3 linked regions of the Neurospora crassa OR74A genome follow. The protein of the gene in region 1 purifies or fractionates together with the protein of each later gene. This does not show direct contact. Links are inferred from orthologs where the notes say so. Each region holds a gene or a part of one and is shown on either strand. Other genes may lie near its edges.

Region 1 (3,750 bases):
TCGACATCCATAGCCAATGGTTACAAAAGAAGTTGCTGCCGTATAGAGACCAATCGCTGTGATATGCATATTTCGAACGTGTATAGTATCCGCGAAGTTGAGACTCAGTCTCCCTCTACCATCGTCCATCAAGTTCGAGGTCTCATAACGACAATGCTGGTACAGCATGTTCCAGCGGTTCCCTGCGCACTTCCCAAGCAAGCCAGTCGGATCTCGTTGTCCTGTATTCACCACGTTAGCCTTCGTTTCACCACACTCTCCCCAAGGATAAAACTGACGGTAGCAGTCCCATACTATTAATCTTCCACACACCCACCGCCAGCGCCAACACCTGCATAAGCACATAGGCCGCCTTCACCTGCAGAATAGACCCCCGGTTGCTGTCCGTCTCGAATCGCTCAAAGGCCTGGTTGGTCGACAACAAGCCCATGATGGGGTTCTTGAAGGCCATAAACACCATCATGATGCTGAAGATCTGGAGCGAGTTGCCGGACATGTACATCATGATGAGCGTCATGGGCAGGTTCTTGGCGGGCGCGAGGGCGACTTCCCAGGCCTTTTTGAGCTTGAGCTGGTCCATCTTTTCGGGGGAGGGTTGTTCGCGGGGGGCGGGGCGGGAGACATCCTTCTTCTGTAGGGGTAAACATGTCAGCGAGGGGGCTATGATTCGTGGTAATGGGAAGTTGCTTGCCTTGGAAGAACCAGATACGGCTTGCGACGAGTAGCCTGGGGGATCGGGGATGCTGGCAGGCTTGGACTTGTAAGGCGGTGGGTTGGCGAGGTCGGTTACCCATCTGGGGGCGGGGTCGACAACGGGTTTGAGGTCAGTCATGGCGGGCTTTGTGAATGTATCGTCTATAGAAAGTGAAGGTATTGGTAATGGGAAGTAGGTGGAAGCTGGATTGCGATGACGCCCAACGTGTAGTGTAGTGTAGTGTACGTGATGGAGTCCGTGCTTCGCTAAGGTAGCTGCCCGTCCCTGACTTCCACTTCCCGTTCGGTCTCTGAGACACCGCAGGGCCCCACTACACTTAGTTGAGCCGCTTCCCCACGCTGGCCGCCGAGTGGTGGGGACCGTGCGCTGTTGATGATGCTACCGAGCTCCACTGAAGCGTGCCAGTCGTTCACTGGCAGAAGGGCGTCGTCCAGTGGGCGTTCAGTGTTGACGGCACCAAAGCGGCAGGTCCAGGTCTGCAGGGTCCGCGATCGCTGACCAGGAGGTGCCGTAATTAATCGACCCGACGGTTCAGGGGACGCCCCAACCTGACCGGTGAACAGAATTGAACCCGTATTATTTTCCATCGTTACCCCCCCCGGCGAGTCAAGATTTGAACTAAACATCATCTTTTCCGTTGTCTGTCTGGCTCGTTGGAGTTTTGGCTGAAGACTACCGTACCTAGAAGCTGTTTCATCCCGATCAACTACGTACAGTACAGCGACAACAGAAAGTGGAGGGTACTTTGCGCCGGAACAGATCTTCACCGAGCCTACCGAGAGAGTGACGACGACAAGGACGACGACGACGACGACGACGACGAACATCGCGATCCTTCTTCGACGACAATTATCTCCATTAGTACTCCAGCACTCGGGAACTTCTTCGCGACGGACATTGGATTATCTGCCTCAACCTCCAAGTTACAAAATAAAGAGGAGGACAAGCAGCAGAAAGAGTGCCTGTGACACCCTGTTTCACCTGCTTGTTGTTACATTGGTTGGCTGTTCTCGACTCGACGATAATCACAAAACATATAATTGTGTTCCAGAGCCAGAGGGGCATTTTCCTTGCCTAGCACACCACCCACCACACCTTACGCCCGCGCCGAGCTCGTTTGCCATTCGTCCATTTTGTCGATATCGAACCTATTTTCGTTGCATCGCAAGCATTCCTCGGCACCGGGTTCGAATCGACCAAAACAGGAATAGCTGTGAGGAGGTTGTGGACGATAATACTATACTCTACAAGCAGCCAACAACAACATGTCGGCCGCACAAGGAGGAGGAGACTCCAAGCTGTTCGCGAGGGTAAGATGAAATATATCATTACACATGTTACGCTGCTCGGGATATGCCGTTGCTTTGTCTACCACCACCACCACCACCACCACCCCTCCTCCCATCCACCACCCCAGCTCAGCTTCCTTCCTGTATCCCCCCCCCCCCTCCCTTGCTTGCTTGTTTGTTTCTCCTCAACATCGCGAACCTTGATGACCGCAATGACCACCGCCACCATGTTTGTCGCATACCCTATCCCGCCGAACATTAGCTTACCACAGACTCGACAGGGCAAAGTAGCTGAGCTACGCCTCGAGCTGAACAGCGGCAGCAAGAAGGACAAGAACTTTACCCAAAAGAAGATTGCCCTCAAGAAGATTGTCGCCAACATGACCATGAGTAACAATGACATGGTCGGTTTGTTTCCCGATATTGTCGCCTGCATGGCCATCCAGAGCTTGGAAATTAAAAAGATGTGCTTCTTGTATCTGGTCAACTATGCGAGGATGAAGCCAGAGATTGCGGTAAAAGCAATTCCGGTTCTGGAACATGTAAGTCACCAACCACGTCCACCTTTTTTTGTGCGATATAGCCAGTCACTGACAAAGACCAGGACATGGAAGATCCAAACCCCCTGGTGCGCGCCCTTGCCCTACGGACCATGTCTTATATCCACGTGCGCGAGTTCGTCGAGGCTACTGTGCCACTAGTCAAGCACCTCCTCCGCGATATCGACCCCTACGTTCGCAAGACGGCGGCTTTCTGCGTGGCCAAGCTCTACGATCACGATCGACACATGGTTGAGGCTTCGGACCTTATTGACAGACTCAACAACCTCTTGAGAGACGACAACCCGACAGTGGTGGCCAGTGCCCTGGCGAGCTTGATGGATATCTGGGAGAGGAGTGATGCTATCAAACTCACTATCGACTACAGCAATGCCTCCAAGATGGTTGCCATTCTGGCCGACTGCTCCGAGTAGGTTATCCCCCTTGCAACACAAGTACGGTCTACTGATAGCAAGCAGATGGGGCCAAACCTACATCCTCGAAGCCCTCATGTCTTATATCCCCCAAGAATCCGGCGAAGCTCTCCTTCTCGCCGAGCGTATTGCCCCACGCCTCTCACATTCCAACTCGTCGGTAGTCCTCACCTGTATCCGTGTGATCCTTTACCTCATGAACTACATCTCCGACCAAAAGCAAATCTCGGCCCTCTGCCGGAAACTCTCCCCACCACTGGTCACCCTCCTCGCCAAGGGTCCCGAAGTGCAATACCTCGCCCTGCGCAACGCCCTCCTCATCCTCCAACGCCGCCCCGAAGTCCTCCGCAACGACATCCGCGTCTTCTTCTGCAAGTACAACGACCCCATCTACGTCAAGGTCACCAAGCTCGAACTCATCTTCATGCTCGCCAATGAGAAGAACATTGACGAGGTCTTGACGGAACTCCGCGAGTACGCCACCGAAATCGACGTCCACTTTGTCCGCAAGGCTGTCCGCGCCATCGGCAAACTGGCCATTAAGATTGAGCCAGCGGCCAAGCGATGCATCAACCTGCTGCTCGAGTTGGTCTCCACAAAGGTCACCTACATCGTGCAAGAAGCCACGGTAGTGATCCGCAACATCTTCCGCAAGTACCCGAACCAGTACGAGTCCATTATCGGCACCCTCTGCGAGCACCTGGACTCGCTCGACGAGCCCGAAGCCAAAGCAGCCATGGTGTGGGTCATTGGCCAGTACGCCTCGCGTATCG
Region 2 (3,750 bases), on another chromosome or scaffold:
GCCAACTCCAGTCCAAGGCCACCGGTATCAGGCCTCTCGAGGGACCTGTTACTATGTAAGCACATTCCCGTTTCAGCCATGCTCGATCGTATTAACAGGACAACAGGAGATGAGTTCAAAACATTTTTCCCGTGTCTCTTTCTATCATCGGACAAGCCATTCCCCTGGTGCTGTTCCAGACCATTCCCTTCACCAGCACCCATGGTCTGGTAGTTTCATACAAAGCTGATTGGCGACATATCCTATCGCTTGAAGTTTAGCTCTCCATATCGCACGGCCCCATGTCCTATAGCTCACTGCCACGCGTGCCACGTATTATCGTGCCTGTCCCATACACTGGCGAAGAGCTTTTCGTCGTTTTGTGCTCGTCGTAACGTTGTTGTGACCCTTGTTCCCCCTTTGGGACATCTCCTTGTATAAGTTGATTTTATTACTCTGGTATCAATCGCCTGATGCTTCCCTTCGTGTAACTAGTAACGCCCAGACGCCGTGCTATTATATGCCGTAGGTGGTAGGATGGCCCGTGCATTAACCGGATAGGGTGTGTAGTCGGTGGCGCACGCCATTACGTATTATACAATAATTTAGAACCTGTGAAAGTATTAGCGAAATGCATTGCGCCGGTAAAGGAGACAGCAAAGAAATCGGAGAAGAAGAACAAAAAAACGAAAAGAACGGCAACCTACCTAATCTCGTAGCTTCCTGCCCTTGTCATATACCTCACCCACTTCACACTCGAGTAGTTGCTCTTTTCGAACACCTTAAGATAGCGAACCAGCAAGCCAGAGCTGGTAAACATCAGCAAGCTAAAGTTCATACTGAGTGGCGGCCTGCTCCAAGCCTTCTGGTTTGTCATGCTCGTAAGCTCGGCCTCGGCGCTCAGCACAAACTCGCTCTGTCCAGCAAAGCGACCAATCTTCCACACAATCACGTTCTCGGACGGCTCGTACTTGGCCTTGCCCTGGGTACAGCGCTCCGTGATCCTGGCCGTGTTGAGCGGCGTGGGAATCTTGACGACCACGTTGGTCGCAAATAACTTGGATCCAAAGTTGGCGCGCACACCGATGCTGTATTCCACCTTTGTCTTGCCCACCTCGTTGACAATGGCGTGCACCTTGAACGGCAGGTTGACGTTCTCGGTTGCGCGGTACCTCATCAGCTCGAACTCGCCGTCGGGCGGAATGAAGCTGATGATGCGGTCACTGTCAAACTTGCCCAGCTTGACGCACTGGTGGAATTGGCAATCTTCGAGCGTGACGCTGCCGGCCGCGGCCTTGGTCGCCTTGCTCCCCATCCTGTTGCCGCTGGGCAGGCTCATGAGTCCGTCCTGGTCGAGTAGGAGGCGGTCGTTGAGACCGAACTTGCACTCGGGCGTGCCGCTGAGGTAGGCGCGCATGATGATCTGGCCGTTGACGTCGGCGCGCAGGACGGAGCCGGTTGCGCTCATGAGCAGGTTGACATCTTCGATTACGTCGACAAAGGCTTCGTTCTTGCGGTACTTGACATCGGCCTTGCGCCAGGATAAAGCGCCAGTAGCTTGCATGGTGATCTTGGCGGAGTCCTCGACGGCGCGCTCCGACTTGACGCCTTCGGTTGTGATGTACATCTTGAGAGTGTCGGTCTCGGTGTTTTGGGGATAACCAAAGTCGATGATTTCTGTAAGGGCGCGGCGGACATAGAGTTGAGGTTAGTTGCAAGCCGCCATCTAGAAACACCAAAAAGGGGGGCTACCGTAGGTGGGACATACCATCCAGGAGCTCGTAGACCAGGACAAAGTTGTTCTTGACGGCCTCCTCGTCAAACTTGCCAAAGTAGCCGCGACCCAGCTGGATCAAGCGGTAGAGGAACTCGAAGACCAGGGCGGCATTGGCGTTACTACGGGTGATGGCGACCAGGTAGATGTTCTCGTGCTTGACATGGCTGAAGGTGGTGCTGCCGAGGGTCAAGATAGGGGATCGGACCTGGGCGTTGCTGATGACCTGGATGCGGAACACGTCCGCCAGTCGTGGGCGGCAGTCATTGCGGAAGGCTCGGAAGATGAGGTTCTCGCCCTTTTGGTTGAAGATGAGGATCCCGGACAGCATCGTGACGGGTGTCGTCGGGGGGAGAAGAAGGAAGGTAATGATTGAGAGTTGCAAGTCGAGTTGGCGACGGGCGGCGACGGCAGACACGGGCGGGCAAGTTTCAATGTCAAAGGCGGCGGGCGGTCAGGAACAGCAACCCGCGTCTACCTCTCTCTACACCCCATTACTAGGTACCTGCGTGTGCTGTACCTAGGTGTTGAGCGCCCCGACTAGTGCCACCTGAACGGCGGCTCTTCAGGGGATGGTGGACGCTACGGGGGCGCGCGACATGGGTGCCCTGCTGGGGAGAGGAGCCTGCCGCTCTGAGCTGTGTGCCAGTCTCCGTCCTGTCGCACCCTACGGCAGGCAATAACCGAGCAAGGTAGGTACATCATACCTTACTCCTGCCCTAAGCGTTTAGGAAACACAGCAGCGAGGCCTGATGGAAAATTGTTAGTGACACACGCACTGCGCTCTGCACCAAGCAACGAGGTACTTTGACAACGAAGCCCCTTTTCGTGGCACTAACAATAAACAAGGAGCACGTCTACAACTCTGCGCCAAGGGGAAAAAGGATGGGCAATACGACATCTGAGGAGCACGACATCCTGCTTCATCCCACCTACGACCACTTCATTATTTGGAGCTTCAGGAATTTTCAAGGCGACATGTAACGGTTCCTTTTCATTGCAGCATACTATTTAATCGAGTGCTTGATAAGTCCCCCACCACTGTCATGACTCATAACATCGTACACTTCAACTCCCAATTATAGGTAGGTATTTCAAGCATCTGTCTTCAAGATGGCCCAAAGACATCCATCGTAGCTCTTCTCGCCCACAGTCTGCATGACCACCGACTCAACCCTCGTGTCCTTGGCCACTCCCTCGACCAGAATCCTGCCCGCCGTCTCCCTGGGCTCCGTCAAGCTCTGATCAATCAGCCTGCCTCCGCGCACCACGTTGTCCACGCAAATCATGGCCTTGGGCAGCGCCATTTCCACCGCCAAGTTGAAGTAGTTGAGGTTATTTGGCTTATCGGCATCGATAAAGAAGAAGCCGAACTTGGGCCTCTTGCCCTCTTCGATCTCCTTCTTCAGCTGGTTCAACACCTCCAATCCTGATCCCTGAATAACCTCGATTCTGTCCGACAAACCCGCGTACTCAATGTTCTTGCGCGCCACCTCAACGTGGTGGGGGTCAAACTCCACAGTGGTAAGCTTCATTTGCGGGTTCTCGCTGGCGAGCCAGATGGCCGAGTAGCCGCCCAAAGTGCCGACCTCGAGGGCGTGTGTGACGCCCAAGACGCGGCACTGGAGAGCCATGAACTTGCTCTGAGCCGGAGAGGCCGAGATGTCGGGCAGGCCGGCGGCTTTAGAGGCATCAAGGGCGTTTTGGAGGGCTGAGGCGTTGGGCTTGCTGGAGGGGTGGAGCTGGCCCATGGTGTAGCCGTCGACGGCGGTCCAAACGTCGTTTTGGACCCAGTTGTGGCCCTTGTTTTCGAATTTGAAGTTGCCGGTAGACATTTTGATAGTGAGATGTAGTGTTTGTGGTGCTAAAAGTGATTGTGGTGGTGAAGGGCGTCTCGGCGGCGGGGGGGGGGGGGGGCGGGCTTGATGAAGAGGTGCTATTTGGCAACGGGGTAAGTGAAAACTTAAAGAGTTAGCAAGGAAAAGGTGGTCTAAATA
Region 3 (3,728 bases), about 1.9 Mb from region 1:
AACACTGCGCGTACAAGCTTGTTGGAGTCGCCGTACCACTTTTCTGTAAGAGTCGAGATATGCAGATTGATGAACGAGGCGCCGCTCTCGTGCGCCACAGCTTTGGCCAGCATGGTCTTTCCGCAGCCAGGAGGGCCATATAGCAAGACGCCCGAAGGCGCGGACAGTAGCGTGCCGCCATGCGAATAGAGCTGCGGCATCGTGAGCGGGTAAATGATGGCTTCCCTGACCTCCTCAATAATCTCGTCTAGACCGCCGATATCGTCGAACCCAACCGGGATGTCCTCGGGCGCAACTACTTCCAGCGCTACCTGGCTCTCGTACTCGTTGAGAATGAGGTCCTCAACCCGCACGGTGGAGGGTGAGTCTTCGGGGACCTCATCGTCGGCGAACTCGTCGTTGGCAACTTTGGATTTGTCTCGTGACTTTTGTATCCTGGCCAGATTTTGTTGAGCTTTCAGCCTGTTTTGGTCGTGCTTAGCACGGTCGGGGTCGATGAGCTTTGCGACGTGGGGGGCGACGTAGTCACGGAAGATGAAGTATACGGATATTGTCTGGAGAGCAAAGTGTCAGCAGATTGTGGTGGGCGCATTGCATCGCGATTAGCAGGGCCCGTACGGTAGCAGCTAGTAGTAGCCCGGACATGATGTCCTTGGCCACACGCTTATTATCGGTCATTTTGACTTGAAGAGTGAGCCCTGGCCGGGTCGGGAGGGGAGTTGACAGCCCGCGGGTCGCATCCAAGAGTTGAGGGCTCTTTTGTCGTGGACGTCGTGATCGGAGGACTGGTAAGAGGATACAAGATGTATAGAGAAACAAGGGCTAATGCAACGAAGCGAACGGCATGCACCGGGCAGCAGCAGTAGTTGTTGTTCGCGTCCAAGTCAATGGACGTGACTGATGGAGGATGGGAACTTGAACTGAATCATCAAAAGTTGAAAATGGGTCCCCTCGAACGGTGGTCCTCGGCTTCAGCTTGCCATGTGCACTGCGTTCGGCCCAGAGAATGGGGCGCCACCCCAGTGGCTACAATCGATGTGACCTGACCTTGTCAATCTTGCCAAGACCTCACACACTTGTCCCCATTACAGTGAATGGTCCCGACTCCCTTGCTTCCGTTCGATCGATCGAACCTGACAAAGATTGGACTCGAACTGGAACGGCACCGCACTGAAACCAAGCGCCAAAACAACGACTCCAGTCGCACTGCGACACGTGAAGACGCGGCGCCTGCCCTGGGCGGATAGCGCAGCTGCTATCGATAAGCTCCTACAAGTGCCAAGAGTTGCCCCCTATCGGATCGCATCAGATGGAAATCAGCCAGGGTTCCCTCCATTCCGCCTCCACTGCCGCTGTGAACGAGCACCTCGATGGACGACGGAAAGGAAAGCTCGGGCCCCACTCACCCCTGGGCGGCTCGTATGGACGCGGCTCATCCCAGAGGGACGACAGCAGGACTTCGACATCACCGCTAGCAATTCCATAATCCGTATCTAATCATTTACACAACACCATCTTTTCCCTTCCCGTCGATCCTTTGTACGAACATCGATTTACGTCGCATGTGAGATCCAATACCACGCGGTTCTAGTGCCGGGCAGTTCAATAAAGCAACGGCGGATTCGCGGTTCGGTTTGGTTCTCTTTACACTTTCTGTGTATTGTTTTTCAACTTGGCAACTTTCAGACGGCCGCCCGCCTCGCTGTTGTCGCAAAAGTATAATTTGCAGCCATGTTGTCTTTCATTCTCATCCAGAACCGACAGTACGTACCCTTACCTCCTCTTCTACTACATACAAGCGCATCATGTGTCGCAAAGTCGCAACATCATATAGCAGATGTGCCACACCATACACCATACACATACATATCTAAAAGTCCATTGTCGCAAACTCGATAGACTAACACCACCAAACAAAGGGGTAAAACCCGTCTAGCAAAGTGGTATGTCCCCTACAGCGACGAAGAAAAGATCAAGCTCAAAGGCGAGGTATGTCCAGTTTTCCCTCTCCCCCCTTCCCTTCCCCCTTACTTAACCTCCCCTTCTAAATTCTTCACATCCCCCAGATCCACCGCCTAGTAGCCCCCCGCGACCAAAAATACCAATCCAACTTCGTCGAGTTCCGCAACCACAAGGTCGTGTACCGACGATACGCGGGCCTGTTCTTTTGCGCCTGCGTCGACACGAACGACAACGAGCTAGCCTATTTGGAGGCCATCCATTTCTTTGTCGAAGTGCTGGACAGCTTCTTCGGCAACGTGTGCGAGCTGGACTTGGTCTTCAATTTTTACAAGGTGTACGCCATCCTGGACGAGGTGTTCTTGGCGGGCGAGATTGAGGAGACGAGTAAACAGGTTGTCTTGACGAGGTTGGAGCATTTGGATAAGCTGGAGTGATGACGGAAGGAAATAAGGCGTTGGAAGGGAAGAAAAGGGCGAAACGGATAAGGGGCTAGGAGCCAAGGGGGGTGGATGAATGCGGAAAAAAAAGGGGGGCGGGGGGCGGCTGACTGACGAACCGCGACCGACCGGCCGACCGACCGACACACCAAAATATCAACCAGGGGCTTGGGATGGACGACGACGAATACTGACTTCCGCACTTGGACGGCTCTCGGCAATTCCAGCCGAACATACGGGTGCAGTAACGAGGTCTGACCTTCTGCCGGAATCGTTCGAACGACCCAGACCCTCGACCCCATCAACACAGAGCTGAGCTGGCTGGACCTTACATGACCACGACCCTCGGACGGGAAAGCTTTGGGTTAGTAGACGTCAACCCCTGCCGTCCACACTTCCAATGAGAGAAACGATCACCGACTATCCAAGCATCGAAAAGGGATGACAAGAGAGAAGGACGCGAAGAGGTGGTTACATATACCCATATCACACATAAGGGGCAGGAACATGTTCAGCAAACACTGAACAAGCAAGCTGCCTATTCTACCACACCAACAGCCCCTTATATATCAGGGCTTCTGAGCTTATACTTAGAGTAATCGATCAACTAATCTTACAAAGACACCGCGTCGCGAGATCCGAAACGCATTGCTCTATGAAATATTGGTGTTCCTTCACGACTCTGCCTGAGAAGCTTCCGATGTTCTCTTCCAAAGCATGAAGTTTTCGTCAGTGGCAAATAAATGAACCGTCTCTGCAGCTCAGCAACGAAGCGAGCCTCAATGGCCGGTATTGACACTATTGTGTGGTGCTCGCCATGAAGTGAACCCTGCGCTGCAAAAAAATTCGGGTATCTACCTGCCGTTGTCACCAAAAAAAAGTTGCAGAATTAACTTTGACCATGGAGAGACGTTCGTCGACTTGGACATGCACCAAAGGGATGTTTCAATTCTAAACAACTGTTTGCTTGCTTGCAATCTGTATCGAATCGTGAAACGAGACCATAAGAGGTATTTGACGCCATGATCCAAGTAAGTCCGTAGCATATCTTGCCAACCTGTCAACAGACTGGCCTGGAGTCAAGTGCAGACACTACTGCGCCTTCGACCCCTCGAAGACTGTGACGTCCACTTGATCTTCAGGCTGAGAAATCGTAACCTCAACAGGTTCAAGGTCCGCTTCAACGTGAATCACGTCCTTGATGGCCGTCTCAGATTTGCTATTGTCTCCAATCTCCTCTGCGCCCTCCATTGGCGTGCAATTTTCATGGTCATGTACTGTGGCCCCATGCCCAGGCTTGACTTTGCGGACGATATCAGCGCTCTCAGC

What was found.
Region 2: the proteins of NCU05232 (region 1) and NCU09673 purify together in Saccharomyces cerevisiae (affinity purification with mass spectrometry; 4 studies listed by BioGRID, with this or other methods). This does not show direct contact. The link is inferred for Neurospora crassa OR74A from reciprocal best matches to the Saccharomyces cerevisiae genes APL1 and APM4.
Region 3: the proteins of NCU05232 (region 1) and NCU07989 purify together in Saccharomyces cerevisiae (affinity purification with mass spectrometry; 3 studies listed by BioGRID, with this or other methods). This does not show direct contact. The link is inferred for Neurospora crassa OR74A from reciprocal best matches to the Saccharomyces cerevisiae genes APL1 and APS2.

What each region holds. Positions count from the first base shown.
Region 1 is NC_026504.1:5,672,828-5,676,577, reverse strand, and holds the start of NCU05232 (AP-2 complex subunit beta), read left to right. Parts: upstream 1-1,251; 5' UTR 1,252-1,980; coding exon 1,981-2,025; intron 2,026-2,285; coding exon 2,286-2,546; intron 2,547-2,608; coding exon 2,609-2,973; intron 2,974-3,022; coding exon 3,023-3,750. Other genes in the region: NCU05231 (ER membrane DUF1077 domain-containing protein), read right to left, coding at 143-221, 279-631, 692-832. UniProt on the Saccharomyces cerevisiae protein: Adaptins are components of the adaptor complexes which link clathrin to receptors in coated vesicles. Clathrin-associated protein complexes are believed to interact with the cytoplasmic tails of membrane proteins, leading to their selection and concentration.
Region 2 is NC_026505.1:874,869-878,618, reverse strand, and holds the start of NCU09673 (AP-2 complex subunit mu-1), read right to left. Parts: upstream 2,197-3,750; 5' UTR 2,085-2,196; coding exon 1,748-2,084; intron 1,657-1,747; coding exon 687-1,656; intron 592-686; coding exon 585-591; 3' UTR 1-584. Other genes in the region: NCU09674 (O-methyltransferase family 3), read right to left, coding at 2,848-3,588. UniProt on the Saccharomyces cerevisiae protein: Component of the adaptor complexes which link clathrin to receptors in coated vesicles. Clathrin-associated protein complexes are believed to interact with the cytoplasmic tails of membrane proteins, leading to their selection and concentration.
Region 3 is NC_026504.1:3,822,633-3,826,360, forward strand, and holds NCU07989 (AP-2 complex subunit sigma), read left to right. Parts: upstream 1-1,137; 5' UTR 1,138-1,731; coding exon 1,732-1,763; intron 1,764-1,919; coding exon 1,920-1,989; intron 1,990-2,066; coding exon 2,067-2,396; 3' UTR 2,397-3,183; downstream 3,184-3,728. Other genes in the region: NCU07988 (ATPase family AAA domain-containing protein 1), read right to left, coding at 1-554, 619-678; NCU07990 (hypothetical protein), read right to left, coding at 3,492-3,728. UniProt on the Saccharomyces cerevisiae protein: Component of the adaptor complexes which link clathrin to receptors in coated vesicles. Clathrin-associated protein complexes are believed to interact with the cytoplasmic tails of membrane proteins, leading to their selection and concentration.